Notamacropus eugenii: one gene and its partners. The protein of the gene in region 1 binds, or shares a complex with, the protein of each later gene. Links are inferred from orthologs where the notes say so. Each region holds a gene or a part of one and is shown on either strand. Other genes may lie near its edges. The genes, in order: CYBB, RAC2, CYBC1 and NCF2.

Region 1 (7,894 bases):
TACCGTATTACCATGAAGAATTTTATTTCCCCCTATGACCATTACCTGTCAACTACAGATTAGGATTCCCAGAGACCCCAGGGACTGGGGCTGCTAAGGTAGCACAAGCTTTCCCCTAGAACTGTACCAACAAGATTACTAAAACAGTACATTCCTAGGCAAACCCCTTGATCTCTTTTAGACTTAAATTCCTTAGCTGATGGTACAATGGATAGAGGACCTAGGGTAGGGAAAATATGACTCAGGTTCAAATGCCATTTCAAACACAAGTTGTGTGACCATGGGCAAGTCACTTAACCTCTGCCTCAGTTTCTTCAGCTGTAAATGGGGATAATAATAGTACCTACCTCATGAAGTTGAGGATCAAATGAGATAAATTTGTAAAATGCTTAGCCTAATGCCTGTTTCTTTCCTTTCCCATTTATGAAATAAGATGACTCAAACTTGTGCCACCTATTTCATCGGGCTGTTCTGAGGGCAAAAATAAAATGCAAAGCATTTTGTAAATTGTAAAGCACTACACAGGGACAGATAGATGGTCTAGTAGATAGAGTGCCAGGTCTGGAGTCAGGAAGATACATCTCCCTGAGTTTAAATCTGGCCTCAGACACTTATTTAGCTGTGTGACCCTAGGCAAGTCACAACCCTGTTTGCCTCAGTTTCTTCATCTGTAAAATGAGCTGGAGAAGGAAATGGCAAACCACTCCAGTATCTTTGCCAAGGAAACCTCAAATGGGGTCATGAAGAGTCAGACATGACTGAAATCTGACAAAAGCACTACATGAAGGTAAGTCATCTCTACCTTCTTCTTGCCTCCTTGTTCACCTTCCCCTTCTATCTTTCTCTTTCTTCTCCTTAACGACCAAAGATATCCATTTTGCTTACCTACTTTCCTATTCTACTCTTATGTCACCCTTACTTATAACCTATGGTCATTTTAATTGTGCTTAACCAACTTTCCTTATAACCGTTCTTTTTTTTCTAAATCCCCTTTCCTTTTTTCCAGGCTCTGCCTTTAGATACATATTTAAATAAAAACTTTTAAGATGGAGCTACTTTTTTTTTTAAAGATGCCACTCTGTGGCTGTTGTCTTATCTAGGCGTAGCTCTTACATTAGAGGGAGTGGGGTCTGGCCCAAGTAGCTCATGAAGAAAATAAGAGAGAAAAGGAAGAATCTGTTTCATCTTCTCTCCCCAGGTCCCACATGCTTTTCCCACACATTATATTTCCTTTTTGAAGAGGAAATATAGAAAGCATGGATGGTCCCCAGAGTTCTCAGTGGGAAAGGGAATGGTGACCAGTCCTGGGATAAAAATATGAAAAGCTCTTCTGGGTCAGGTCAGAACTGACCCAGCCTCCGGGGGAGGTGGAAGGGGCTTTGTTTCAGGTTCCCTCAGCTGCTCCCGCTCAGCTGGGGCTGCCACAGATCTACTTTGCTCTGTTCTGCCTTTAAGCAGTCAAGGCTATTAAAAAAACATAAAAGACTAATGGATCATACAAGTCAAAAGACTACATTTCAAAAAAGTATTTAAAGTTACTTCTCTTTTTCCCAAGTTGTCAATTATTATATTTTTTTTACATTCATCACTGTGACTGTACCTTATGTCTCAGGTCTTTCACTTGGATGGATAGCACTTTGAGGAGTGTGTTTAAGGGGAACCCGGCTACTATGAAAGTAATTCATAGTCAATGCTACTCGGTATCCCCAAGAACTCAAAGGTTCAGGTCCAAGGTCTCAGGAAACCTGTTTTACCTGCTTTTATCCATTAGAAATTCTATTTTGTCTAATTGACTTCAAAGCATTCAAAAGGAAGAACCAAAAATGCTAGCTTCCATTTTTTTGCCCAGAGCTATCTTTTTTCTTTCTTTTTTTTTGTAATTAATTGGTATCATGAATTTCATTTAAAGGGAATAGTTGATCATTTTCATATTTTATACAGGACAAGAAAGAATGCTTCCTATTTAAAAATGAAAAAAAACCAGTGGTATAGACAAATCTATGGTTTATAGAACCTCCCTTTGGCAGGCTGACATGGTGGCTTGAGTATTGGACATAGATTCAGAAATACTTAGGTTCAAATCTCACTTCTCACATGCTTTGCAAGCCTATATAAATTCCAGCCATTACTATTCATGTATTCAGAAAGTAAGAGAAATTTTTCAGCCTGGCTAATTTATTTGGCTTAGGTTATCGTAAACTTATTTTTAGGTTATTATAAACCTGTTTTTAAACAGAAATTACTTCTGTTTAAAACAGACAAAGTAAAGCCAAAAAAAATGAGGAGAAGAGTGGGAGGGTAAAGAAGCTAGGAACTTTGAGTACTTTAGTAGCAATTCACATGAGAAATAAAATTCTCCTTAGTGAAAATTCCATCCTACTTTTGGAAGATCACATGAGCATTTTAATTACTCATTATTTTTTCTAAGAGACTATAAACACATCCTGAATAGCCATAGAGACACTATTTGAAAAAGCATGAGAACCTGGAACCTGGATTCATTAGCAAGAAATGTAGCTTTCTTCCACCATGAAATGTCCATTAATTTAACTACTGAAGTGACTTAAAGACATTTTCCAAAATAGGCAAAAATTACCCTTCTCCCCAAATATATAATTTCCATGAAAAAATGTCAGTGATGGAAATGGTATTTTAAAAGACATGTACCGATAAAGCAAATTGGAGGAGACCTAGTGAACATGTTGAGGGTGGGGAGAAGGAGGAGGACCCTTGGCTATTTTCCATTTCCAGAAAGAACAAAAACAAGTAAAAGACAAAAAAAACAAAAACAAATGAATAATATTTCATTTCATACTTACAATGACAAAGATGGAGAGACCCTCGTTCTCTACCCAGTTACCCATGGCTGCTTGAGATGAATGCCCTGACTGCACCGTTTTTCTGCACTATGTACCCTTTTCCCATGAGGAAGTGAAAACAGTAACCCCAGAGAGAAATCTATTTCCTTTTCTACTATCGAAGTTAAGTAACCATTGGTCAATAAAGAATTATTTCCCTGCTCACTTTAAATGTTTAAACCACAGAGACTTTTTTTAAGAGTGGATTTTTAAAAAAAAATGTTGCAATCTTAAAAAGGATATGACTGAATCATTTTCTTAAATTGAGAAGCAATGTTTGAATTTTAAAATGTGACTACTGCTCGAATTCATGGGTATTTTATGCACCAAGGGCTTTTTTGTTATTTGATCCTTAACTGGAACACATAAAATGTTCAAGTATACCTTCCTCTAGATTCAGTAAAAAGCACATTAAATTAATATAGTAACTTTTGCCTTTACTCTTGCAATTGCTGAGCTGGAGGAAGTTTGGTACACTTAGAAAGGTTTTTTGACAAATTGCTGGGCCTAAAGATCAGAATTTTCTCTTTTAGAATTAGTATGTAGGTGCTAAGGGGGATCAGGGAGAACCATGTGACAAAATCAAGGGCTTTCCAAGTCTCAGCAGAATCCAGAGGCCAGGTCTCTGTTACAGGGCCTCTACTTAGGCCAACCCACACTGGAGCAAGAATCTTGCCTACAGCATTTCCAAGGAACAGACCTTTGCTTGAAGACTTCAAGGGACAAGGAAACCACTACCTCCCCAAGGTAGCTCATTCTACTTTAAGTTTAGCCCTTTCTTCGTTTGTTTTCATGGTCATCGCCTCTGTGGCCCCATTTGGGATTTTCTTGTCCAAGATACTGGAGTTTTTTGTCATTTCCTTCTCCAGCTCATTTGACAAATGAAGAAACTGAGGCAAACAGGATTAAGTGACTTGCCCAGGGCCACATAGCTAATAAGTGTCTGAGGCTGGATTTGAACTCATCAGTATCAGTCTTCCTGATTGCAAGCCCAGCACTCTATTTTCTATGGAGGCACCTAGCTGCCCTATTACATACAACAGTCCTTTAAATATCTGAAGATAATTATCATGTTCCACTTAAATTGAGTCTTCTGTCCAACTGGTCATCTTACAGCATGATAGGAAGGTCCTTCCCCAACCTAGTTGCCATCCTCTGAATGTTCTGAAATTCATCCCTGTCCTTCCTGATGTATGATGCTGAACACAGTTCTCTTAATGTGGCATGGCTAAGTCTCTTGGGATTATCTTCCAAGTCTAATTTTGCACATTCTATCTCTCTTAGGGCACCCTGAGATCAGAGGATGATCGATTGGGTGGGACTTTAGAGGTCATCGGCTTCAATTTCTTCAGTTGACAGATGAGGAAGAATGATCTACCCCGGGTCACACAGCTAGTCAGAGGCAGGATTGAACCCAGTGCCTCACAGTTCTAAGTATAGTTCTTTATCCACTACACCATGCTGCCTCCGGAGCACATTAGCTTTTTTTGACTGCCATAATACATTTAACTTGTATTGAACTTGCAGTCCACTAAATGCTCAGAACTGGCTCTAACTACTAATGGCATGGGTATAAAAGTAGTGAGGATAGGGGAGCGAAATGGGGAGGCTGATGGGAGAAGAGGTGTTGGGGAGGGGGAAAGAATGAGATATAGGGGGCATGGGGGGATAATAACATTAACTGGGAATGCTATTACCTCTGTCCCCAAATCACTTTGTTCTTGTGAAAGAGAACCTACTCTATCCTCACCAGCACATTAAAACAAAAAATTAGCTTGCCTCTGTCCCCTCAAAAAAAAAGATTTATGAAAAAGTATCAAACTGGCACCTAATTAAATAAATATCTTCCCTTCCATAGATTCAAGAAGTGGTACATTATTTGTCTCTTCTCTCTCCTATTATAATTCCTGCAAGCCCCCTGCCCCCAATAATTTTTAGGGGAAAAGAAATCAAGAAAAGTCTTTTCGTGGAACAATTTACTCCTCCTCATTGTTTGTTTTGGTTTTGTGTTTGAAACAACAATCAGAGGGGCAGCTGGGTGGTGCAGTGGTTAAAGCACTGATCCTGGAGTCAGGAGGACCTGAGTTCAAATCTGATCTCAGACAGTGTGTGATTCTGGGCAAGTCACCAACCCAGATTGCCTCCTCTCTCCCCACTCCCAGAAAAAGACAGAACAATTAGAGGTATGAAAACAAGGACATCTTTCCAAATTAGAGAATGTCCCTCAGTTTCTGAGCTGGAAGCAGTGATGCAGAGTAATAAGAATGAAAACATTTTGCTTTCCTATACCTAAGTTGGAGAAGCATTAAAGCATAATGGAGAGAGAGTTGGTCTTTAAGCTAGAAAAGCCTGCTTTGAAATCCTGCCTCTGATGAAGACCCACTGTATAACCCTGGGCAAGTCACCTAACTTGAGTTTGCTTTAATCCACAGGAGAAGGAAATGGAAGACCACTCCAGGGGTTTGCCAAGAAAACCCCATGGACAGTATTGGTATGTTATGGTCCATGGGCTAACAGGAGTCAGACAAGACTAAACAAAAACAATCCCTAAATAAATATCCCTGCTGCTATATGTTGACTTAATTTTAAAATGTGTTATCTATATTTTATTGTATTTTGTTAAATATTTTTTAATTGCATTTTCATCTGCTTCAGGTCACACTTGAGAGGCCACATATAGACAGTGGGCCACACATTTGACTTCTCTGCTGTAGGGAACTCTTTAAGCTGTCAACTTACGTTGCTAGATGGAATTTCCTTACCTGAGAGTTTCCTATACCAATCAAATCTCATGTCTAGTCCCTATCCTAGGGACATTCACTGATGAACATGATCAAGATCCATCATCAGTCAGAGCTACTTGGGGGCACTACCCTGTTTGAGGTTCCAGTTGGAAATTCCCCACCCCTCCCCACCAAAGCAGTTAAGTAGTTAGAGAAACAACAGGAAGCAAGACTCCCTCTTGCCCTCCCAGCAGACTGAGGCAACTTCCCCTGAGCAGAGGTAGGTCCTCTGGCTGAGCATAGATGCAAGGTTGCAAAATCTCTCCACCTGAGAGATAATAGGGGACCAACCTGCAGAGGGGTGGAGCTGGACACCCAGACACCATCACAAGTAGAGGGATTGTTGCAATGACTGCTGGCGATTTTAAGGCTCTCGGTGACATTTTGTAGGAAGGTGAGGAATTGTGGGAGGAAGGGCAAAGCATTAAGACTGAGCTTTGTCTGCTGCCCATTGGACAGCTCTCTGGTTCTAAAGGGGGTCAGGATCTTACAGTTAAAGGAAAGAGGGATGAGGAAGGTGATGGATCTTGATCCAGCTGCTCCATCCTTTTCAGATAGAAAGAATCAATGGAAAGCTGACGTTCAATACAGGAGGAACCAGCTCAGAGTCAGTGACATACTATTCTTACATTTTACTTGCTGGTTATAAAGCAATATAGTAAAGCAAATAGAAGCAAAAAAATTTGAATGGCATCTTCAGACCTCCAGTTCTATTTTAAACATTCTATTTTTTATAATCTTACTCATTAGTTACAAGAATTTGTAGTGGACTCAAGATAGCATGACCCTAGGGTTGATTGACACCAGTGGGCTTGCTAAAATAGAACTGGCTCCTCAAACTAAGCAGGGAAAATGTCCTTCTCAAGAAGGCTGCCCAGGGTCCCTGGTCTATGAGCTTGACACTTGCCCCTGTTCCTGCCCTAGTTCTCTAACACAGTTCCCCAGATGCCTTCAGCTTCAGTCAGCAAGACTTCTCTCTCTCCAGTGCTCAAGTGATAAAAGTCCTCTCCACACTGTTCTGTCTTCAACATCCTGCGCTTTTGCCCTCTTGTCCTTGTTCCCCATGCCACTATCATCTATTTTTTAAAAATGTATTTTGTATCCTGAACTTAACACAAAAAAATTAATCCTCCATAATAAAACATGTGTGGAACAGAAAAACAAAATTATATGTGAAATTATGAATCTCTATTTCATACAGTTGGCTTTTAATATGTAGGTATGTGTGTTATGTGTATGTGTATATGTACGTGTATACATAACATACAAAATTCAACTTGTTCCTTTCAAAGCTGCCCTGCTTGACTGTGTTTCTTTAGATTATAAGCTCCTTGGGGGCAAGGACTATTTCTTTTTTAGTTGTATTTTTGTTCCCAGTGCTTAGCACAATACTCTGTAAATAGGAAGTAACTCATAAATGTCTTTTTTTTTTTTTTTTTGCTCCCTTCAGAAAATCTTTCTATCTTCTTCTGGGCATTTAGAAAATACTTCAGTGTCTCTCTCCTTCCCTCCTTCCTTCCATCTTTCCTTCCTTCTTTTTTCTTTTTCCTTCCTTCTTTCCTTCCATTTCTCCTTCCCTCCCTCCCTGTGGCGCTCTCTCTCTCTCTCTCTCTCTCTCTCTCTCTTTCTCTTTTTCTCTCTCTCTATGTATCTATCTGTCTCTGTCTCTGTCTCTCTTTTTGTCTCTCTCTCTCTCCCCTTTTTTGGCAACATTCTCACTAGCTTCTTCCTCCCTCCTCCAAATCATCCTCAATTTAAAAAAAAGAAAAATACTATCTTTTTAATAAATATGAAGAATGAAGCAAAAAAAAAGGAAAGATACATTTTTACCCATTTACCGTGTCCAAAAATGCTTGTCTCACTTTGTACTTTAGGTCCTTCACCTCTCTAACAGGAAGTGAGTGGCATGCTTCATCATTGGTCTTCTGGAATGGTTGCTAAATGGTTGCATCTCTCACTGTTCTTAAATCTTTCAAAGCTATTTTCCTTTACAGTGTTATGGCTGTATAAATTATTCTCCTAATCCTGTTCATTTCACAGAATTCTTCCCAGACTTTTATGAAATCATCGCTTTTATGATTTTTATGACATGATAATATTCCATTACATTCATATATCATAATTTATTCAAGTATTCACCAGTTGATGGGCACCTGGTTTCCTCTGTCTTAATCTGATGCTTCAAAGTATTGCCTTTCTCATCTGTGATTCATCTACACCTCCAGGCACATTTGTGAGCAAGGATTGCCTTTA
Region 2 (7,860 bases), on another chromosome or scaffold:
GCAGGTTTTACCCACAGCTCTGAAATGAAGAAGAGACAGGACAGAAGTTTAGTGCTTCCCCCTTTGTATTTCCTATCTACAGTGAAGAAGCAGCCCTCCCTTTTAGGGCCTTCTGGCTAGCCACTCCTTAACCCCCTCAAGCCAATCACACCAGGCTGGCCAGGTATAACAAACTCTAAGTTCACCATACTTTCTGTGGGGCCCCAATATTCCTCCTCCTCCTTCCAGTAATGGAACAGGAAAACCACTTGAGAGCCAGGAGTCCTGGGTCTGGTCTCACTTCTGCCACAAGTTCAGTGTGAGACCTCCCTTCTCTGGGCCTCAGTGTCCTCATATGTAAAATGAGAGATCTAGAACTGATGGTATCTCTCAGTGCTGACATTGCATATTCTAAGGTATTTCTCAGCTCTGACATTCCCTGTTCTTAGGCCCCTGCCATCGATGATGTTCCATGTTCCAAGGTCCCTCCTAGTTCTGGCATTCTAAAGTTTTATGATTTAAAGATTACATAAGTATCTGAACCCCCACTCCCAGGGCCTTCCTTTGCCCATCTCTCCCAGCCCCTTTCTGTCTCTCTCATTTCTTCTCCTTTGGTCTAAGTCTCCTACTTCTATGATCTGCTCAGGGACAATTCACTTCGGAATCAAAGCTATAGGGGACAGGAGGGGAAAGAAGGCTCTGGAAAGCACAACCTGAGATGAAAGAGGGGGAGAGGGTTGTTCCCTGGATCAGGTGTGGGGTATAAAGACCAGCCTCCACATTTGGGTCCTTAACATCCTGTGTATTGAACAATTTGCTACTAAGTTTCCTTTTCTTCCTATCCCTGTCTGGTTCAGTTTGTTCTCCCCTGGGGCCCCCTCCCCCCATTTTGAATAAGAAGAGGGCTTGGCTCACCAACTTCCGCTCAATAACAAGGTCAGAGAAGTATTGAGTGGGAAGAGGAGGGGGAAGGGATCAGTGTAGATAACACCTTAGCTGCATTAACTGTCCCAGGGCCAAGGGTGCTTGTCATGTGGACAAAATCCTCCCCAGCAGGTTCAGGAAAGTACCCTGGTGTTTGGGTCAGCAGACCTGCTTCAAGGTATAGGCTCAGTGTGTGTGTGTGTGTGTGTGTGTGTGTGTGTGTGTGTGTCTGTGTGTGTGTGTGTGTGTGTGTGTGTGTCTGTGTGTGTGTGTGTGTGTGTGTGTGTGTGTGTCTCCTTGAACTAGTTACCTGCTTCAAGGTGTAGGCTCAGCCAGAGTGTGTGTGTGTGACCTTGAATAAGTTACTCTGGCCATCACATCCCTCACCTTCCCAGCTCTGACATTTCAAGTTCTAAATTTCAATATTCTCTTCCCTGACATTCAATTTTCTAGAGTCTCATCCAACTGGGATCCCACTCCCCACACCCAACTCTGGCCTTCTGTGCTCTGAGGGCCTTCCCAGCTCTGCCATTCCACATTCTAAGGCTTCTCCCAGCCCTACGTGGAGTCTTTCTGGTTCTTGTCTCTCCCTATCTCTTCCCCATACAAAATGTCACACCCTGGTCCTCTTGGAAAAAAAAAACCAAAACAAAACATGCAACTTAGATGTAGAACAGCCCCTGGAGATGGAGTGCTCACTTTGCAGAAAAGAAAATGGAGACTCAGGGGGAAGCAACTTATTCAAGGTCATGCCAGGGAGAGTTGGAGCCTGAATCCTAGTAGAGGATGATGGAAGGTCAGAGAATTTAGTATCTGAAGGAAACATTAAAACCATCTAGTCCTCCCTCCACCCCCTCTTTATCTTGTAGAGGAACAAACAAGCTCAGAGAATTTCAATAACTTGTCCAAGACTGAAGAACTTGCAAGTAGCAGAGAACATAAGGAAATAGCTTATATACTTAGAACTGCCAGGGGCCATAGAGATCATCTAACCTAACCTTATTTTACAGATGAGGAAACTGAGGCCTAGAAATATTATAGTATCATGGATTTAGATCTGGGAGGGACCCCAAAGGTCAGAGTCTACCCCCTTCATTTTGCAGAAGAGGTTCAGAGTGACTTGCCCAAGGTCACACGGCTAATAACAGTCAGGGGCAGGATTTTAACCTAGATCTTCCTGACTCCAGGTCCAGTACTTTGTGAGACTTGAGCCAAATGCAATTTCCATGACTTCCAACCTCTTCCCACATTAATGTTCATACCAGTCAAGCCTCTCCCACTACTACCAACCTTCACATTCCCTCTGAAGACCAGCAAGATCCCAATCTGGTGGTGGGACCAGGTAGAGGTCTCATCATGACCCTGGCCCTGGACAGATTTTCCCAGAGATAAAAGAAGGGAAGCCACCTCCCAGTCCCACATTGCTGCTTCAAGGATGCACCAATGCCCATGATGCTGAGCTCAGTCTAGGTACAGAATCTTAGCCTAATCTCACCCCACCTCACCTCATCCCAGCCCCAATTCTTCAGCAGACTTAAGGTCAGAGGATGATGAAGAAGGTGAGACACAATAAATAGCCCAAGTCACCCTGTCCCACCCAGGTTGAAGACTTCTAACCACCACTGAGAGAAGACTTGACTCTACAGCTGTTCCCCATCAGATCCCAAGTTTTAGAAGGCAGAGAATTCTCTTGGGGTGAAGAGAAAGGGACTGGGGATGGAGTTGGCAAGAGAAATAGGAAAAAACTCCAACTAGAGAAAACAATTAAACATTGGTAACCTCCCCCCCCCCCCCAAAAGATGTCCCCACCACCTGGTCCAGAAGCAAACCAAGTTACCTACCCATCTCCCACCACCACACATTTGATAGCCTGCATTTTCTCTGGGCTCCTGGAGGCGCTGAGACAGGGAAAGAAGAGAAGGCTGACTCCTCCCGGGCAGTCAAGGAAGGAGGGAAGCCGGCCTCCCAGGGAGAGAGACAGAGAGAAGGAGTAAAAATAATAATTAACAGGCTGGTGGATTGGCAGGTCGTTGGAAAGCAGTGGGGAGAAGCGGAAGGGGAACTGACTTACTCAATCTGCTGCCTCCCCCTCCCCCAGCTCCACCGTTCAAAGGAGGCGGGGCATGTGGTTTGAAAGAGAAGTTTGGGCCCCTTTGGGTGACTGGGAGCCCCAGTGCTCTAGGGTGCCTTAAAAGAAGGTTACCCCGGCATGGTGAATGGTGGAGATGTCGCTGCTGAGCCTGCAAGGCAGGCTCCCAGGTTAGCACTCCTGTTCCCTTGCTTTAATTTATCACCTGCCATGCAGGAAAGGCAAACCCTTCTTCCCTCCAACTTAGAGAATCCCTCTCCTCTCTAAGATACAGTTTCAGCACCATCTTCTGCAGAAAGCCTGTCCTGAGCTCCCCAAATTACGTTACCAAATGATCTTGTATCCAATTACTTTGTATTCATTCTCTTTAGCTCAAACAGCAAGTTGATTGTTAAAATTTCGGTGTGAGCATTTACACCTGGGAAATCCCCAAATGCTACAAATCAGGTCTTCATTTATTGTTTTAATGATGACTAGACTTAAGAAAGTAATGAAGAAAAAGTTAATATGGCAGATTAAAAGTAAAAGTGTGGCCTGCATTGCCCCACCCCGAAAGCCCATTGTTAAACATTTACCTACTAACCCTGGTTATAGTGGCTATATTTATATATTTTTTTCTCCCTCACAGAGAGACTGTTTTATTCTCTATCCTTGTGCTCTTAGCATCAAGCACAGTCCTTTGCATTTCATAAACATTTGTAGATTGATAGATTGAAGGAGATTCCTGTTCAGTTACAGTTTGGACTGGATGACATCTAAGGGTCCTTCCAATTCAGAGATTTTGAGATTTTATGAAATACCAAAAGTGTCTTTCCTCTTTCTTGGACTTTGGTTTCCTCATTTGTAAAAGGTGGGGAGGAAGGGGGTGAACCAGATGACCTCCCAGACCCCTTCCACTATGGCACCATGACCAATGCTTCCTAATACATCCACAGCTTCTCTTTCCAATGGAACCTCAACCTTCCACCACAAGGCAAAGAGGGATCACAGGGTCATAGAATTCAGAGTTGGGTCAACTCTGTCACTTTATAGAAGATGGAACTGAAGCCCAGATAGAGCAAGGAACGAGTCAACACACACAGAGCCTCAAACTCCAAATCCAGACTTCCTTCCAGTATACCAAGACAACTTCCCCAAAGCAGATAGGGCAAAGTGATGGGAGACCCAGCAAACTCATAACTAATACAAGGCAGATGGAGCTGTACCTAAGGGTGCTCACATCCAGTGGGATGAGCTTCCTTCTCATGGCAAGTGCTGTGGTCATCCCTAGCTTGAAGGATTTTGGCTGGTTCATGGCTTCCAGGTGCCACCCCCAGGGGCCAGTCACTGTGGTAGCCACTCTCCCAGGTCTACTTTAATCTTTCAGGGGCTTCAGGGGAGTCTGTCCTACCCCCATGCAGCTGCACCTGTGGTTGGCTTGTCTCATGCCCTGCCCCCATATGCCCCTTCCCAGTTTTCATGTTTGCTCCCAGGTAAAAATTCCTGGTGACAGTTCTGAGCCTGGGCCACCAGATTGGCTGATTTGTTTAATCACCATGTATTATATGCCCAGGATCATAAACCAGAGCAGAAAGGAATCTCAGAGATCATCTCATCCTGTCTTCCATTTTACAGATGAGGACATTGAGACTCTTTTGGATCACAGGGCCACAGACCTAGAGGCCTCAGAAGCCATCTGGTTCAACCCCCTTATGATACATCTGTGAAAACTGAGACCCAAACTGAGTAACCCAAAGTCACAGATCCAAGATTCAAACTCCAGTCATAGGCTCAAAGATATGAAGGTGGCAGGTGCCTAAGACATCATGGTGTACAACTCCCGCATTTTACAAAGGAGCGAATTCAGGTCACTGTAGCGAAATCAATTGCTCAAAGTCATCCAGGTCATAAATGACAGGGGCAGTGGAAAAATAGAAGGAGCAGTACCAAATGCAAGACCCTTCCCAGACTGCCTGGCCTTCATAGAATCTTAAAACCCAAATGCTCACCCATTTTAAAAATGAGGAAACAGATCCAGAGATTTAAGGTAGCTTGAGATAACTCAATCCAACTTAATTTAGCAAAATCATTTCTACTCATTATATTCTATGTACAGATGGGGTATTAACAGAAATATCGAGTTTAGATAAGACATATTCTATTTTTTCAGGGAGATGGGAAAGAAAGTAGGTTTGGATAGGGAAGGTAGGATGGCATTTCAGGTAAGAGTACCAGCAGAAGCAAAGGGACAGAGTTGGGAAATGAAAGAGGCAACAGCTCTGTGTATCTCATCTCATTGTTGGTGTTCCCCAGGCAACTCACTAACACATATAAGTGACATTATATAAGAATATTTAAGAGGGCAGAAACAACCAGCTTTGTGAGGTCTGAGGGCCAAGGCCATCATTGCCCAAGGGAATCAGAGCAGACTCCCTAGAGGAGACAGCCAGGTTTCTTATCTGGAAAATGAGGGAGTTGGACTGGGTGATGTGTAAGGCCCCTTCCAGGTCTCAATCTATTGCTTTCCTTCCTAGGTTCCTAGGAAGGGCTCTTCTGGACCCTCCTGATTTTAGAGTGATTATCAATAGTAACTGCTGCTGTTTCCCACCCAGCCTGATGTCTTCCTTTTTCTTGACTTCATTAAAAGGACCATGCCCTGGCTACTTCTTAAACAGGCCTATTCAATGAGTGGGTGTTGCCTCACCCTAAGTGAGTGCCTGCAAAGACCTTGGCCTAAAGGGTCCAAGGTCTCCCAGTGCATCCTGGGTCATCTCCAGTCATCCTGATGAATATCTCTGGTCACTGGATTCAGATGGCTCCAGAGGAGAAGTGAGGCTGGTCACCTTGCACAGCCCTCCCTCACTCAGAACAAAGTCAAGTGCAAGTCATGTCATCATTTCTCCGATGGCGTGGTCTTCTTCAGCAACGAAGGATGAACCCAAAGTTCCTAGGGAATTCTGTGGCCAAGGCTGCGCCTTCTTCCACTGAATAACAGTAGACCTCAGGGGCAAAGAGGAGATATGATGTCATTCCCAGGAAGGGAATCAGCTGAAACAAAGGTGCCTTTGTGTCTTGCTCCTACCCCCTCCTAGGAGTCCCCAGGCAAACTAGATTTCCACCATCCCTACTTCCAGTGGTGCTACTTATCAGTTATGTGACCTTGGACAAAACCTTCTCTCTGACCTCACTTTTCTCCTAAAAATCAGGGGAATAGACTAAAGTCCTCCCATCTGTAAATGATTTGAAGTATTTCCTATACAGGTAAAATGACTTGTCCAAGATCACATGGATAGTGAGGAGTAGAATTGGATCTTAAATCTAAATGAAGTTGGGGAGAAACTCAGAGATGAAGCCAATTTAGGTTGATCATTGAGGGGATAACATGTGAAAAAGGTAATAAGTTAGAAAGGCAGGATGGGGCCCGATTCTGTTGGACTGGAAATCCAAAGTGAAAGGATGTGCTTTGGTCCTAGAGGTAATAAGGAGCCACTGGAGGTTATTGACCAGGGAAGGGATAGGGTCAGATATGTGGGCAGTTCAGGAAGGATGGACTGGAGTGGGAAGAGACTGGAAGGAAGGAAGCCAATTAAGAAGCTTTTACAATAGGCCAGGTGAGAGGTGATGAGGACCTGAAATGGGAGAACAGAAGAGGACCTGGCGATTCCCAATGGTAAACTTTCTCCACACATCTTCCTCTGATGCCTCATTATAACACAGAGGTGGCCCTATTATCAACCATTATCAAGAGAACCCACTCTCTAGAAGGTCCTGCCAAGCCAGAAAGGGTTCAAATCAAATCCCTGCAATGGACATTTTCTCCTTTCCAAGGCCCAGCCAGGCTAAGCATGGGGAGGTTGGTGGTGAATCCGTTGGCTGTAGGAGAGACAAAAAAACCCCAAAAGACTCATCAGTTCTTGATCTTGTCTGGTCTTTTTCTGCCTCCCCAGCAACTTAGCAGAGCATCTGGAAAGGGGGCAGGGAGGGCTGAGTGTTACAGTTTTTAGCCAGTCTATAGACATATTTAAGCAAAGATGTGGACAAGACTCAGAGTTGATGGGCAAGCCCTGCGTGGTTGGTATCTTCAAAGCTTCCTTCAAGCTCAGCTCATGTGAAACCTTTCCTCTACCCTCCAAATCATCTGGTTTCTTTTGTGTATAGGTTTCTATAAGGACAGGAGGCTTTTGGCTTACTTAATCACCCCACCCCATTGCTTAAAGTAACTGCCTCAATCAAGTGAGAACATGATTAATCAGCAGGCATTAAAGTAAGGGCAAAAAGTTCTTAGTCAATTTGGAGAGAATGAAAGCTACTGGATGAAATGAGATGATAATAGGGGAAGGGTTTGAGGATTGACTGAAGAGACTCAGACACGGCCTGTGAGTTTTGTACAAAATAGCAGACCCAGCTTAGATGAGAAACTGGCATAACCAAGCCCAGCTGAGGAAATCATCTGGGGGAAGAATGGAGAGAGAGAAGTGCTGCTCTTTCTTCCCCATCCCTCACCTTGCAAGCTGAAGGAAAACCTTTTGAACTTCTAAAGGCTGGTAGATATTGAACTTCTCCAGAACACCAGTATTTGACGTTGACAAAGTCTGCATCCAGAGCTGAGGTCAGAACAGATACACTGTGGGGGACCCTACGGAGGGAGAAGGGGCCTCGTTTTTTATATCCTGAGCCAATTTCCTCTGGTCTCATGGTGTTCTTGGGGGAGAGTGTGCCCCTGATTGGAGCAGGGGCACTGGGGGTTGGGGAGGGAATATTTATGCCAACTGTTCTTACCAGTCCACCTTAACAAATACCTATTTCCAAAAGATAATTGGATCCGGATGGCTAACTGCTTTAAACTGATTGTCAGTGGGAAAGCATAATGTTCATGGGGGCTCATAAGC
Region 3 (7,129 bases), on another chromosome or scaffold:
TTCACCTGTCCCCTTAGGGTTGAGAACACAGTTTTCCCAGTCCTGCCAGTGGTATGATTATTCCTATACTGTCCATAATTCCAGAGTATCAGATACCAAATGCTCAGAGTAAATCTTCCCAGCATCTGAAGCATCTTGTCCTCTCTACTATTCCCCTCTTTGAACTAAGAGGCCATCGTGTCAGGGTCCTGCCAACTATATCAGATGCTACGGGCAGGTTAATAAATCTACTATTCTGGTACAATAAGCATTCAGGTAAGTCCAGTGCATTTATTCCTTTACTCAAAGAACTGTTGTTTAGTTTATCAGTCATGTTCATTTCTTTGTGACTGTTTGGGGTTTTCTTGGAAAAGATACTGGAATGTTTTGCTATTTCCTTCTCCAACTCATTTTACAAATAAGGAAACTGGGCAAATAGATAGTAAGTGTGTGAGGCTGGATTTGAACTCAGATCTTCCTGACTCCAGGGCTGTCACTCTATCCACTGCATCACCTAGCTGCCCCTTACTCAAAGAATAAAATATATGAAAGAATATATGGTTGGGTGAAACTTTTTGTGTCTTCCTTTCCTCCTGCAAAGGCACACTTGTGACCCCAGGGTGTGATCTCATAGTGTTCTGTTTACTTCTAGCTGGAGTGTCTTCATACCTTAGAACCTATTTTCTCCTATTCCCCCACATGACCACTGATTAAGTCCAGCTCTTTGGGGATGTATATCTTGCCTCACTGCTCATCTTTTGTGACTGGAGAGAGGTGATATCATGCCACTTCTCTTCCTTTCTCTGGGGAAGGGTTCTATTTACACCATTGCTCTGAATTATTGTCATTTATTTTCTACAGATTATGTTACTCTCCTACTCAATAAATTTTTTTTTTAAACATTAACCAGCTGAGACACAGATAATATTTATGTTGCTAACTTCACAAACTCTTGACCTAATTGTCTCCATAGTATTACTAAGAATTAAAGGACCTTAACTTATTGTTGTAGGTCTAAAGTCCTATGCCTAATAGCTTAATTTTAGACAACCTCGGATATTCCCCTACCCATAATCTATAATTGAATAGATCTAGTATTAAGCTTATAAACCTTTTGACTACAGGAAATTGCCACCAATAGTAAGGACATTGCAAGGATACAATATCTCCCCAACTTCATGTCAACCCCAGGCAGGATTAGACTATCTACTTGCATTCAATCAGGCTTAAAGTCTGCCAGGTGTCAGTGGGGAAATTGAGTCAGGAGAACTCAATAAATTTTAATACTCCCCTTCTATTAAATTTTTAAAGCCTTTTACAACCTCCACCCATCCTACCTATCCAACCATGGTGTACAATACCCTTCCTTCTAGCACTCTATAGTCTGCCAGACTGATCTTTGAGGCAGCTAGATGGTACAGTGGACAAAGCACTGGGCCTGGAGTCAGGAAGACCCTATTTCAAATTCAGTCTCTGTCACTTACTAGTTGTGTGACCCTGAACAAGTCACTTATCCTTTCTCTCTCAGTCTCTTCAACTGTAAAATGGAGACACTAATAGCAACTCCCTCCCAGGATTGTTGTGAGATTCAAATGAGAAAATATTTGTAAAGCACTTAGTATGGTTACTGGCGCATAGTAGGCCCTTATTTCTATTCCTCACATGTGACATCATGCTTTTTTAGTGGCCAATGTCTATACTTGGAATGTACTCCCTTCTTACCTTCAGCTCTTTAAATCCCTTGTTTCCTTAAAAATTCAGCTCAAATACCACCTTCTACATGAAGCTTTATTTGATCTCCAGAACTGCTAGTGCTTTCCCTATAACAATCAGCTTTTGTATATTCATCTGCTTCCCCCGAAAAACTACAAGCTCCTTGAAGGAAGGGAAATTTTTAATTTTTGTCTTTGCATCTCCACATGTAGGTGGTGCAACACCATGTTCTACTGTTGTTGTATGTCCTTTACTCTTAAAAAGAACCATGACATAAGGGGGGTTATGCCAGGACATGCAAGAGAATTGGATTTAAGTGAGGGAGGGCAGTGCAAAATCAACAGCCTCATTTTCTTCTCTGGAGCCATCTGGGACTAGTGGTAAGATATAGATCAGGATGACCGGAGATGGTCCTGGATGCAGTGGGAGATCTTGGCCTTTTAAAGCTAAGGTCTTTAACAGGTCTTAGCTTGACTGAAGCAATCAATCCCCATTCAGTGATTGAGGTTAGATAAAGATGGAAGCAAAAGATAGTCTAGTTTGTCTTCCCAAAGAGATTGGTCTGGGAGGGTAAGACCTTCAGAGTTTCTGGTCAGAACAGAAATAACTGTTATTTACAATCACTCTGAGCCATCAAAACTCAAACAATGAGCCAGTGAGGCTTGGGCTGGGACCTGGTTGCTTAATAAATGTTTGTTGACTGATTTGTTCTATTTAGGAAAGATGATACTGGGTTTAAAGGTAGACAGAACCATACCAGCCTTAGGCTATCTCATTTGGGTCGATTTTATATATACAAACACAATCCATGAGGGCCATACTACTTAAAGAAGCCTATTCACTGACCAGGTGTATCTCACCCAAAATGAGAATCTGATAAGACTTTACCCTAGAATGGCCAGGCTCTCACATGGCAACATGGCCTATCTCCAAGAGTCCTGATGAGTATCTGGCCACTAGATCCAGATATCTCTGGAAGAGAAAGAGAGGCTGATGACCTCGCATAGCCCTGCCTCACTCAAATCAAAGTCAACTGCAAGTCAAGTCCTGACGTCACAGTCCTCTTCCAGAATGAAGGACAAACACAATCTTATATACTTGGAATACATGAATACATGAATAAGTCATCGAATATGGAAATGAATCAAAAGTTTTGTAACAGTCAGTAAAGGTAGTATAGATATTATATAATCCTTTTAATTGGCTTGCACCATAATGAACTGTTTCTTTAGATACCCTTTTCCTCCTTGGCCAGTACACTGTCTTTCTGTATTTACAAAATCTGGGAGTGATCCAAGGTATGAATACAGAGAATACATAAACATGGATATGGCTTACATCTGGAAGGATCTCTCATGTTCTTTTGGTAATTAATATGGGATGCCTTCTGTTACCTGAGTTGGATCAAAGTTGACTTCAAGAAGCTGGTGAGTGTACCGAGGAGAATTCAGGCACGATTGTGAACCTTAATTAAGAACCTTATCTACTTTGCAGCTCTCCAGCTTTATTTTCTAATTGTTTTTTTTTTAAATCACCCTGCTTACTTATTATGACTGTTTCAACATGTAGCTAGACTTGACTTAGGTTCCAGGAACAGTAACTTTCTTTTATCTCACCTATCTGTCTCTTTTGGGGCTGATTCTGGGGCTCCGGACACGAAGGCACTTAAAGGTCTGTAGGATGACCAGGAGGATCTCATCTTTTATATTTATGGTGTTTTACCATTTTCAGAAGGTTCTATACATATTACCTCAATGCCTTCCCACCATTTGAGGTACAAAGGGAACAACATCCTTTTACTAAAAATGAGAAAACAGGGCTACAGAAGGCCTGTAGAAGGCCACACAGATCAGAGGTAACTGAAGTTATCTAAGTCTTTCCATATAACACCATTTTATGAAAATGGTCATTCATGCTCAGAAGAAAGAGGGATCTGAAGGCACCACCACCGGACGGGGCGATGAGACTGCATCCCGCCCCCTCTCCTTTCCCCTGCACTGTGCTCGCAGAGAATAAAAGCGAACCTTCTGCAACAAGAAACTCGGGGAGAGACCATCTTAACTACGACACCCCAGCGTCTTTCCCTGCTACCCGGCCCCTGCTTCCTGGACTTCCGGTCTAATTCCTGTGAAGTCGGCGAAGCCATCTTGGAATTGGGCAAAGTTTCCATGCACTGGCTCCTCAGGGCCGGGAAGGGTCTCTGACAGTTGAAAGGACACCTTCTTCTGTCCTGTTTACTGAACCTCCAGCCCGTTGAGAGGTTATTTTTCCTCCGTACATTTTTTTATTTTTTGCCAGCTTTGGCATTCCGTCTACGTCAGCGGCCTGTAAAGCGGTTTTTGCCAGAATGCAAGATGGCCACCCCCGCGCCGGTCCTCCTTCGTAACGGAAGTGGAAGCTCCGGGCCGCTCTAGGGCATGAATCCGGAAGTACGCTTCCCGCCCAGGCTTCATTCAAACGTCTGCCTTCGTGCTGGTTCGTGGGGCACCGCTTCGGCTGCCGTCTTCATCTAGGTAGGCGCGTCCTCCACCCACCTCCTCCGCCGCCCTCCCTGCCATCTTGGCGGGCACTTACCGAATTCGCGGAGCGCTCGGGCCGCCTCTCCTCCGCGGGCGTCTGCCTCCGGGCTGCCTTCCCTCCGCAGCCGTGGGGGACGCTGGGGAAGAGAGAGGGCAGGAAGAAGTCCTGACCGGGCTGCGGGGGATGGAGGGCGGCGGGGGACGGGACCCGGCACCCCTGACACCCCAGGAACTCTTGCTGGTTGGTAGGGGGGAGCCAGGTGACCGTGAGATCCTGGAGCCGGCGAGGCCAATCCCCTCCTTTTACGGGGGAGGAGAACGATGCTGAGAGGGAGAGACTTGGCCAGGACCGGCCGGCCGGCGTCGGAGCCGGGGTTCGCGCTTAGAAGCGTTTTGTCCTTTTCCTTCTTTGTGGGTGTCAGCGCTGCCCTTCCTCTTTACCCCCTCCCCATTCCCTTAGGAAATAGTTATTATGTCTATAGAATATAATTATATACATATAATTATGCATAATAGAATAGAATATAATTATACATAATATCTAATATAATCATATATAATATATTTTACATACTTATATATATTATATAATACATATTATACATAAAATATGTATTATATATAATATGTATTATATATAATTATGTAATAATATGATACATAATTATTCATTATTTCTGAAGGCCACTAGAAGTGGTGTCCTCTTACACAAAAAGCTGCCCTGGTCCAGTTCACATAGCCCACAGGAACCAGAGTTTTGAATCAAGGAAGTCCTGCTCAATTCGTAATAGGAAAAATTCCCTTCAATCCATGACTTTTTCCGGATACTGATCTTTGCTGACATCCATTGTACTAATAGGTAAATTAGTGTCAGTTATTAACTGTGATGGATACGTTAACAATTATGACTGAGTAGGTAGTTTCATAATTCTGTAGGAAAAAATACAGCTTTGTAAAGGTTCTCCTCGAAGGAGGTGTCTGCCAAACATATCTTAAAATCACAGCAGATTCTATGACAAATGTAAACCTGAGTTTCAGCATCAAGGTAGACAAGAAACACAGAGATATACACTCACTTAAGGAATTCACCAGTGTCACACAGAGTCCAAATAGAAGAGTTCCTTATCATCCATAAAGTTCTCCAAATGTTCCTGCTTTGTTTTTTTTTTCTTTTTCACTTTACGATTTATTTATTGAAGACATTTAAATTCTCCCTTCCTTCCACCTCTCCTCTGCCTGCTGAGAAGGCAAGCAGTATTCTTTCAGTTTTTCATGTGAGATCATACAAAACATATTTCCATATTAGCTATACTTTTTTCAAAAGCAAGAAAATGAAGTGAGAAAATGATAAAAATTCCCCTGCTTTCAGATGACATCATACTAATTCTTTTGAGCCCAGAAAGACTTTTAGCACTTCTGAGAAAGGTACTTTTGAGTGAATTTCTTCCAGAATTTTGAAGTCGTGAAGGAAGAGAAAAACTCACCTCATTTGTTTAATGAACATTTGGGGAAACATTCAAAATCTCAAGATTATATTCTTCATAAGGGTCCACATAAATTTTCTGATGCTTCTACTCACTCTCTTAAACTTACCGCAGTATGGTTTGTGACTGTTACTCAACTGAAACTTCTCTCTACACACTTAGCAATGGTTGGCTATTTCATGCTTTGTGTTTATATCCCCAAGGCCCAGCATTATGCCTTATTTAGTAATTGATTACCTCTTAACTCTGACTGTCCTCCAAGGGTCAACCCTAGAGCATTTGTATTTGATGCTGGAAGCAATTGGAAGCAATAGGAAGCCCCTGAAGTTAATTGAGTGACACAGGAGTGACAGAGTCAGACCTGAGCTTTAGGAAAATCACTGATGGCTGAATGGAGGATGTATTGAAGTAGAGAGAGACTTGAGACAGGAGACCCATCATTAGGCTATTGGAATAGTCCAGGCATGAAATGGCAAGGGCCTGTGTTAGAATGGTGGCAGTGTGAGAATAGATGGTAGCATATCTGAGAGATGTTACAAAGGTGAAATTGATAGGTTTTGGCAAACAGCTAGAATATGAGAGGTAAGAGATAGTGGTGGCAAGAGTCAAGAATAACTCCTAAGTTGCAAGCTTGATGGACTGGAAGGGTGGTAGTACCCTCTGTGTGTGTTTGTCCATTGCTGAAGAAGATCATGCCATCAGAGAAATAATGACATGACTTGCACTTGACTTTGTTTTGAGTGAGGGAGGGCTGTGCAGGTCACCAGCCTCACTTCTCCTCCAGAGCCATCTGAATCCAGTGACCAGATAGTCATCAGGATGACTGGAGATGACCCAGGATGAGGCAGTTGGGGTTAAGTGACTTACCCAAGGTCACACAGCTAGTGAGTGTCAAGTGTCTGAGGTGAGATTTGAACTCAGGTCCTTCTGACTCCTGCCCTATCCACTGCACCATCTAGCTGCCCTTATTACCCTCTATAATAATAGGGAAGGTGGTGGTGGAAGGTTTAGGAGAAAAGATAATGAGTTCTCTTTTGGACATGTCTAGTATGAGATGACTGTTGGAGATCCAGTTTGAGATATCTGAAAGGCAGTTGGAGATGAGAGATTGGAGGTCAGCTGAGAGTTTTGGGCATTATGGTAATTAAATCACGGTTGTAGTGAGATCACTTTATTAAGTAGTGTAAAGAAAGAAGAGAAGACGACCCAGGACAGAATCTTGGGGAACACTTATGTTTAGAGGGAGTGATTGGGATGAGGATCTGTGAGGACTGTGGTCATGTAGGTAACAGGAGAACCAGGAGAATGGTGTCTGTTTCCCAAAAACGTAGAGAAAAGAGAGTATGAAGGAGGAGACAGTGATCAACAATGTCAAAAAGGCAGCTAGGTGGCAAGTGAATAGAGTGCTTGGCCTGGAATCAGGAAGACCTGAGT
Region 4 (7,087 bases), on another chromosome or scaffold:
ATCATACCATCGGCTTACAGTAAGCTTGTGGTCAACTAAAACTTACCACTTCATAGATCTTTTTTCATATGAACTGCTGCCAAGGCAGGCATAGCTCCTTTAGATTTATGGACCCTAGAGGAATGGCAGAGTTATTAGAAAGGATCTACAAAAAGGCTATCAGCCATGGGCATTTTGATCTTTAACAAATAAACCTTCTGTTGACTGAATATGTCTCACATGTATATGTGTATATGTGCTCTTTTAAAAAATTATAATTAATCTTTTTTATATCATCTATATTTTGTATTATGCTATTTGAATATGTGTACATGCTGTTGTGATAAAATATAAATTTATTTAAAAGCTATTATGTCTTTTCTTAATCAACTGATACTGAGTATATATTTTATCAAAGGGATCCTCACACTTGAAAAGATTGGGAACCACTTTACTAGGCTTTGAAAGTCAGTTTATTTCCCAACATCATTCCTTATTGAGTGTCTCTGCACCATTTATGGGTGGGGGCTAGGAAAGAGTAGAGAGAAGAGAGATTCCAGATGGGAGGGCAGCTGACTAAAAAGAAGACTTCATTCTTCTGGTTCAGGCAGAGGAGAGGAGAAAGGAGGAGAGGGGAAGATGGGAGAGGGGAGAGGGAAGGGGAGGGGAGGGAAAGGGGAAGAGAGAAGGGAGGGAGAGAGAAAAGAAAATAGAGATATGTTGTTTCAGTCTTGTCTGGCTCTTCATGACCCCATTTGGGGTTTTCTTGGCAAAGATACTGGAGTGATTTGCCATTTCCATCTCTAGCATATTTTACAGATAAGGCAAACAGGATTAAGTGACTTGTCCAGGGTCACACAGCTAGTAAATGTCCAAAGTCAGATTTGAACTCAGAAAGATGAGTCTTAGAAGGGGTCCATAAGTTTCACCAGACTGCCCAAGGGGTCTGTGACACAATAAAAGGCTAAGAGCCCCTGGTTGAGTCTAATCCCTTCATTTTATAAATAAGGAAACTAGACCCAGAGAGGTAAGTGCTAGAGTTGTAATCCAAATCTCCTGTCATCAAATCTAGCACTCTTTCTACCACACAACATGGTGGTTGAGAGTTCCTAGGATTTATGTATTTTGGTTCCATAAGTTTCCCAGCTTTTCCACAAACACAGAAAGAAATGGGGTGTACTTGCTTTATAACTGACCATATTCATCCTACAGGGACCTTAGTATATTGTAGATAGTAAAACCCCATTAATAGACCTGGAATCCCTTAATTCAAAATTAATGAGTTATTTGTTCAGGAATTGAGCAAAACACTAACCTTTCTGTTTAATTATGATAAATTTATTTCCTAAGCAAAGGAATAGTGTGCTCAAAACTGTAGAAGATAAGCTGTTTTCAACTTTTAAAACCAATTTAGCAATGCTTATTTGCTTATAGTTAATATGCTCATTATAAGTTATTCTTATTTATTTATTAAATCAGTTTCCTCGTCTGTCAAATGAGCTGGAAAAGGAAATGGCAAAACTCCAGTATCTTTGAAAACCCCAAATGGGGTCATGAAGAGCCAGATATGACTGAAACAAGCCAACAACAACAAATTCCCTCAGTTATTTCATTTCAGTACTGTTTTGCTATATTGATCTTTTAAGGACAATAGGAAAAAGATTCAGATTTTCAAGGACAGAGTTAACTTCATTGGCCATCAATGTAAATGGCTCTATAAACTTTCCAATTCTTCTCCAGTGGCTCCAATTTTTCTTAGTAGGGGGATAGGAAATTTTAATTTGTAGTTGTCATGCCCTTAACCCTGACCACCTGATGATCAAGATTTTGCAAGTATTCCCCAGAAAAGGAAATGTTAGAAATAGAATGAGGGAAGTAATCTCAGAAGTGAAGCATGATCCTATGACCCTATAACAAATTACAGATGACCTTTGCCAACTGTGTGATATGACATGAGCCAATCACTCCCCAATACTACAACTTGTACCCAGTCCTTGGGTAGCTTGGTAGCATAGTCAATCACAAAGGACAGCAATTAGATAGATAGATAAACAGACAGACAGACAGACAGAGAGACAGAGAGACAGAGAGACAGACAGACAGACAGACAGACAGATAGATAGATAGATAGATAGATAGATAGATAGATAGATAGATAGATAGATAGATAGATGATAGATAGATAGGTGGATGGAGTGGATAGATAAGAAAAAGAAAGAGAAAAAAGAAATATGGATAGATAGATGGATGGATGGATGAATGTATGTATGGATGAAACATTTGTTAATCACTTAATATGTGCAGGTACTCTGCTAAGCAAATAAGACAGACCCTACCTTCAATGAAACTATGTTTTAATGAGGGGAGACAACATATAAAGGGAATCTGGACATCAGAAGAAGGGGGTACATGAAGTGGCACAGATGCCTGCATCTATCTGTTAGATCCTACTATCCTGGGGGGCACAGTCCAAGGCTCCAGTGAAAGGGGAATCAGGTTAATGGCTAGAATGCAGACAGCCAGGTATGAAGATAGCTGAGATGTACTTATAGAGTAGAAAGAAGGCTGACTTTGGAATAAAAAGTCTTGGGTTCAAATTCCAGCTCTGCCACTTAACTACCTGGGTGATATTGGGTTGGTCACTTCATATCTCCAGACTTCATCAACTTCCTCATCTAAAGGAAATTGGACTAAGTGGCATGCAAAGCCCCTTCCAGTTCTAAACCTAGGATTCTATGAAACTAGGAGTGGGAAACATCCACAGAATGATGGAAACTCATTAACAGACACAAAGAAAAAGAAACCCCAAAACACCTGCCCATACTGCTGTGCTATCTCTTGAAATTGTCTTTCTCATCTCCTCTCCCTTTATTTCCAAGGATCCTATGGTTCTAATGCAATATTAGGGAAGACAGTTTTTGAAACACTAGTAGCAAACATTCAACATCTCCCTGTTTAAATGTGCTCATTGAAGGCAGTTTGAATATGAGCAGGAGTCCAAGGTAATCTCCAAAGCTCTTGTCTTTGTCTAGTTCCTTCTCCCCTCTGTGGTTCAGCTTTCCTTGCTGGACTAACAACAGTCATGTTTAGCTTCCAGGATTTCCATAAACATTCTGAGTTTTCATAAAAGAGAGCAGAGCCTGAAAAGGCTCTAATATCATTTTATGGAGAGAGCTAAAGAAACTATTATTCGTTGGAACAAAGAATGACTGAAAATGGGCATCCCAAGCTGAGATGGTGATGCTCTAAAGATGGAGGAAGTTCCTTAGAATCATGGATTGCTTTTTTAAATTAAATTTCATTTTATTTTTAGATCTGCATGCTATGCCTTCCACCTGTACACTCCTCCCCATCCCACTGAGAAAGTAATAAAACTAAAACCCCCTTTATAAGCATGTATAATCAAGAAAAACACATTTTTGTATTGAGCATGACCAAAAAAAGGTCTCTGTGCTCTTGGTCTATCACCTCTCCATCATGAGGCTGGCAGCAGGTTTCGTCCTGAATCTCTGGAATTGTAGTTGGTTACTAAGTCTTTCAAAGTAGTTTGTTGTCATCATATAGATTGTTCTGGGTTTGCCTACTTCGTTGCATATCAGTTCCTATGATTCTTCTCTGGTTTCTCTGAAACTACCCTTTTCTTCAGTTCTTATAATATAATAACATTCCACCATATTCCCGCACCATAACTTATTTAACCATTTCTCAATGGATGGGCATGCCCTCAAGTTACCAATTCTTTGCCATCACTAAAAAAAGCTGCTATAAATATTTCATGAATATGACTTTTAAAAGAGCTCAGGGGAACTTTTGACTGAAGTATCACATCCAATCCCCTCCTTTTGCAGATGGGGAAACTGAGGAAGTAACTGATCCAAGGTCACACAGCTAGAAAGTGACAGTGCATGGCCCAGAAACACTAGTAAAAAGGTAAGACTTAGTTGGAGGGACTGATCATGGCAGAGCAGAATAGTTTAGAGGAACTGATCCATTGCAGTCAACACTTGTACTTCCTCTCTTTCCCCACCCCTCCCCTCCTCTCCACCCCCACCTCCCTTCTTCCCCTTGCCTCTCAGCAGGGTTACTAAAAGATGAGGACACTTCCTGACATGCTTACAACACAGAGAAGTCAGCTTGGAGAAGACTAGATCTTCTTCTGAGACCCACTTGAAAGGAAAAAATAAGACACTTGGTCCTACCCAGTCAAGAATAAGGGAGCCGAAGAGAGACCGTAGGGAACAGGCCCTGGTGGGAAAGACTTCCTCTCCATTGAGTGCTTTCTCTTCTGCCCCTGTTCTGCCTAATCCAAGTTGCTCTTTGGGCACAGTCTGGGTCTTTGCCTCCCAATTCTCATCTGGCCATGTCCTTAGCTGAGGTGATACGCCTTTGGAATGAAGGGGTGCTGGCAGCAGACAAGAAGGACTGGCATGGAGCCTTAAAGGCCTTCACTGGAGTTCAGGACCCCCATTCCCGGATTTCCTTCAACATAGGCTGTATCTATATGATTCTGGAAAACCTGCAGGAGGCAGAAAAGGTAAGTGAAAGACTCTTACTTCTGCTTTGTGCTTTCGTGGTATCTTCATGCACAATCATGTCTCCTGATGTGGGATGGTCTCTTCTCTTGCCCACCTCCAAATTGGATCCATCCATTGAAATCTGTCCTCTCTAGGAAGCCTTCTTTGACTATTCCCCCTTCTCTGAACTCTTCTTGTGCCACTTGGAGCAGACAACTTAGCATATGTTTTTAAACTATCTCATGTTAATCTCTAATTCATTTGACAATTAAATGGCTATCATATACCAAACACTCTACCAGGATGAGAGACCCACACAGTTTAATCTTTCATGCCAATCAGTACCATCTTCCCAACTAGATAATAAGTTGCCTGAGAAGATGGATGTGAATCAAATTGTGAAAGATTTTAATGTTATATGTAAATTATACTACCTCCTCCACAAAGTCTTTCCTTGTAGTTATCTATGTATGTGTCATATTCCTCTACTAGAGTAAACTGAATACAGGCAGGTCTATGTTATCATGGAGTGGATGAAAGAGTTTAGTCATGAAAGATCTGGTATTTACAGATAGTAAATGGACATATTGGTATGGATGAATATATTTGACTTCTCTCAGTTGTTGGCCCAAAACCTTAACTAGGATAGGGCCCCTTAGGCATTTGCCCCAGTGTGCCATCTTCCAGGAAAATATACTTTTGGGGGACAGGGGTGCGCACATATTTTCTCCATACTGCAACCTGGAGACAAGCATCCCTATGTCTAATGGAGACCTGTGTTCTGAAACTTTGAAGTCTTTGTTGGCTTCAGGATAAGGTGGAACCCGACTCCCTCACCCAGTACCACCTTCAGGAACATGAGGCCGGTGATCTTCTTGAGTCTCATAGCAACTCATAGAATTCATATGAGCTCCACAACGGAGGGAGAGGAAAATTGATTACCAGCTTGGGGTGAGGGGATAGAGAGTTAGGATCAGCAACGGTTTCAGGGAGGAGCTATCTCAGTGATGTCAAGCATTAAATTTATGCACAGATAAGTAGGTCAGGTAGTCAAACAAGTGACCCCAGAGGCAATCCACAAATAGATTCTAGTTCTGATATCTATATGTGCTGGTTGGAGATAAGAATATAAACAGATATGCTTCAAGGATAAAGAGTGGATTTCTTAGTAAACGGCAGTTGGTCCAAAGGACAGATAGGATGCACAAGAGATAGTGAGCCCTCCTGGAAAAAAAGTGTGTAGACAAGGAAAAAGTAGAAAGTTAGGGAGAGAATACAAGGACATCTATACTTACTGGTGATAGTTTTAGAGTTTACCCCTATGAGGTGCTTTTTGTCAAAAGCTTAGCAACAATGGAGAAGGTTGGAATGGAACGTTTGTGTGTGTGTGTATACATATATGTGTGTATACACATGCATATATACATATACACATGTGTATATATGCATGTGTGTACATATATGTGGATACACATGCATACATATATGTTTGTATGTGTATATATCCCTATTTTCCTTCTACTCCTAGTTTTAAAAAATCTTGAACTTTATTTCTCCTCTTCCTCCTCTTCTTCCTCCACCTATTGTCCTTCTAACTCCTTGTCTTTCTTGATATTCCCTTCTGACTTTGTGCCTTTGTCATCCCCAGAGGTAGCCATAAAATCTGGCTCCCTTTGCCCAGCCTCCAGATAGCTCTCTTCCAGACACCAGCCATCCTCAGCTCTCAGCCTAAGGTGACTGCCTTAACTCTTATCACCAGCTTTTTACTCTTACAAACCTATACACAAAAACACTTTCTCTTTCTTACAGGCTTTTACTGGGAGCATAAACCGAGACAAACATTTAGCAGTGGCTTATTTCCAACGAGGGATGGTCTTTTATAGGATGGAGAAGTAAGTCTTTGATATCACACAATGTTGGGAATGACATGAGGGTACCAGGAGGGATGTGGGTTTTGCTCTGTGTTCACTAAAAGTTTTTCCTAGTTTTATATCAAGAAGTTTGACTCTAGACTGAATGAAATATGAGTAATTAAGCAGAGTTCACATGTCTATAGTTTTGCAAAGTCCTTTCTTCATAGTAACCCTCCGGGAGGATAGGTGGTTCAAGAGTTATTATTTCTATTTTACAAAAGAAGAAACTGAGACTCAGAGAAGTTAGATGACTTTCCAAGATCATATAGGCAGTAAGCATCAGAGCTGGGGCTCAACATTGGGGCCTGCTAAATTCAGATTTAGTATCCTTCCCACTACAGCCTGCTGCCTCTCTTGTCATTATGCAGTAAACTCAGACACGGTCAAACCTCGACAGAGCATATTGTGATAGATACTGCTGCTTCAGACACGGGAAGACCGGACTCCAAGTCTCTCCACAGATATATGCTGTCTGAATGACCCCGAGGCAGCTCACCTACCCTCTCAGTAGTAACCTAATTCAGTTCTCTAACATTGTAAATTAGAGGAAGTTGCTTATCTGGATTATTAGAGGGAGCTTTCTTACTGGGAGTTTCCTATGCCAAGGAAATTATAGGACCAATAAAATAAACAAATAACTATTGAAAATATTTCTATAGGGCTAATATCAATGCTATGGTA

Evidence for each region.
Region 2: CYBB (region 1) and RAC2 share a complex: the UniProt entries of both Homo sapiens proteins name them as parts of the phagocyte NADPH oxidase complex. The link is inferred for Notamacropus eugenii from reciprocal best matches to the Homo sapiens genes CYBB and RAC2.
Region 3: the proteins of CYBB (region 1) and CYBC1 are in contact, whole or in part, in a cryo-EM structure (PDB 8KEI), measured with the Homo sapiens proteins. The link is inferred for Notamacropus eugenii from reciprocal best matches to the Homo sapiens genes CYBB and CYBC1. Residues at the interface, in NP_000388.2 of Homo sapiens: Trp28, Asn74, Leu75, Leu76, Ser77, Phe78, Leu79, Arg80, Gly81, Ser82, Ser83, Ala84, Cys85, Cys86, Trp206, His210, Phe212, Pro266, Met268, Trp270, Lys271, Ile273, Tyr280, Tyr324, Phe326, Lys328, Leu335, Glu336, Trp337, His338; in NP_001028218.1 of Homo sapiens: Arg22, Leu26, Ala37, Ser41, Gly42, Asp43, Trp47, Phe50, Tyr51, Phe57, Gln61, Asn62, Glu64, Lys77, His97, Asp98, Gln99, Val100, Val101, Val102, Leu103, Arg108, Ser111, Glu115, Val117, Arg118, Tyr119, Phe120, Arg129, Ala131.
Region 4: CYBB (region 1) and NCF2 share a complex: the UniProt entries of both Homo sapiens proteins name them as parts of the phagocyte NADPH oxidase complex. The link is inferred for Notamacropus eugenii from reciprocal best matches to the Homo sapiens genes CYBB and NCF2.

The regions. Positions count from the first base shown.
Region 1 is NC_092876.1:437,657,363-437,665,256, forward strand, and holds the start of CYBB (NADPH oxidase 2), read right to left. Parts: upstream 3,019-7,894; 5' UTR 2,865-3,018; coding exon 2,820-2,864; intron 1-2,819. UniProt on the Homo sapiens protein: Catalytic subunit of the phagocyte NADPH oxidase complex that mediates the transfer of electrons from cytosolic NADPH to O2 to produce the superoxide anion (O2(-)).
Region 2 is NC_092874.1:294,384,677-294,392,536, forward strand, and holds the start of RAC2 (ras-related C3 botulinum toxin substrate 2), read right to left. Parts: upstream 3,004-7,860; 5' UTR 2,780-3,003; coding exon 2,745-2,779; intron 20-2,744; coding exon 1-19. UniProt on the Homo sapiens protein: Plasma membrane-associated small GTPase which cycles between an active GTP-bound and inactive GDP-bound state.
Region 3 is NC_092873.1:72,177,793-72,184,921, forward strand, and holds the start of CYBC1 (cytochrome b-245 chaperone 1), read left to right. Parts: upstream 1-4,119; 5' UTR 4,120-4,205; intron 4,206-4,266; exon of another isoform or gene 4,267-4,352; intron 4,353-7,129. UniProt on the Homo sapiens protein: Functions as a chaperone necessary for a stable expression of the CYBA and CYBB subunits of the cytochrome b-245 heterodimer. Controls the phagocyte respiratory burst and is essential for innate immunity.
Region 4 is NC_092873.1:461,483,855-461,490,941, forward strand, and holds the start of NCF2 (neutrophil cytosol factor 2), read left to right. Parts: upstream 1-4,073; 5' UTR 4,074-4,339; coding exon 4,340-4,513; intron 4,514-6,302; coding exon 6,303-6,385; intron 6,386-7,087. UniProt on the Homo sapiens protein: Subunit of the phagocyte NADPH oxidase complex that mediates the transfer of electrons from cytosolic NADPH to O2 to produce the superoxide anion (O2(-)).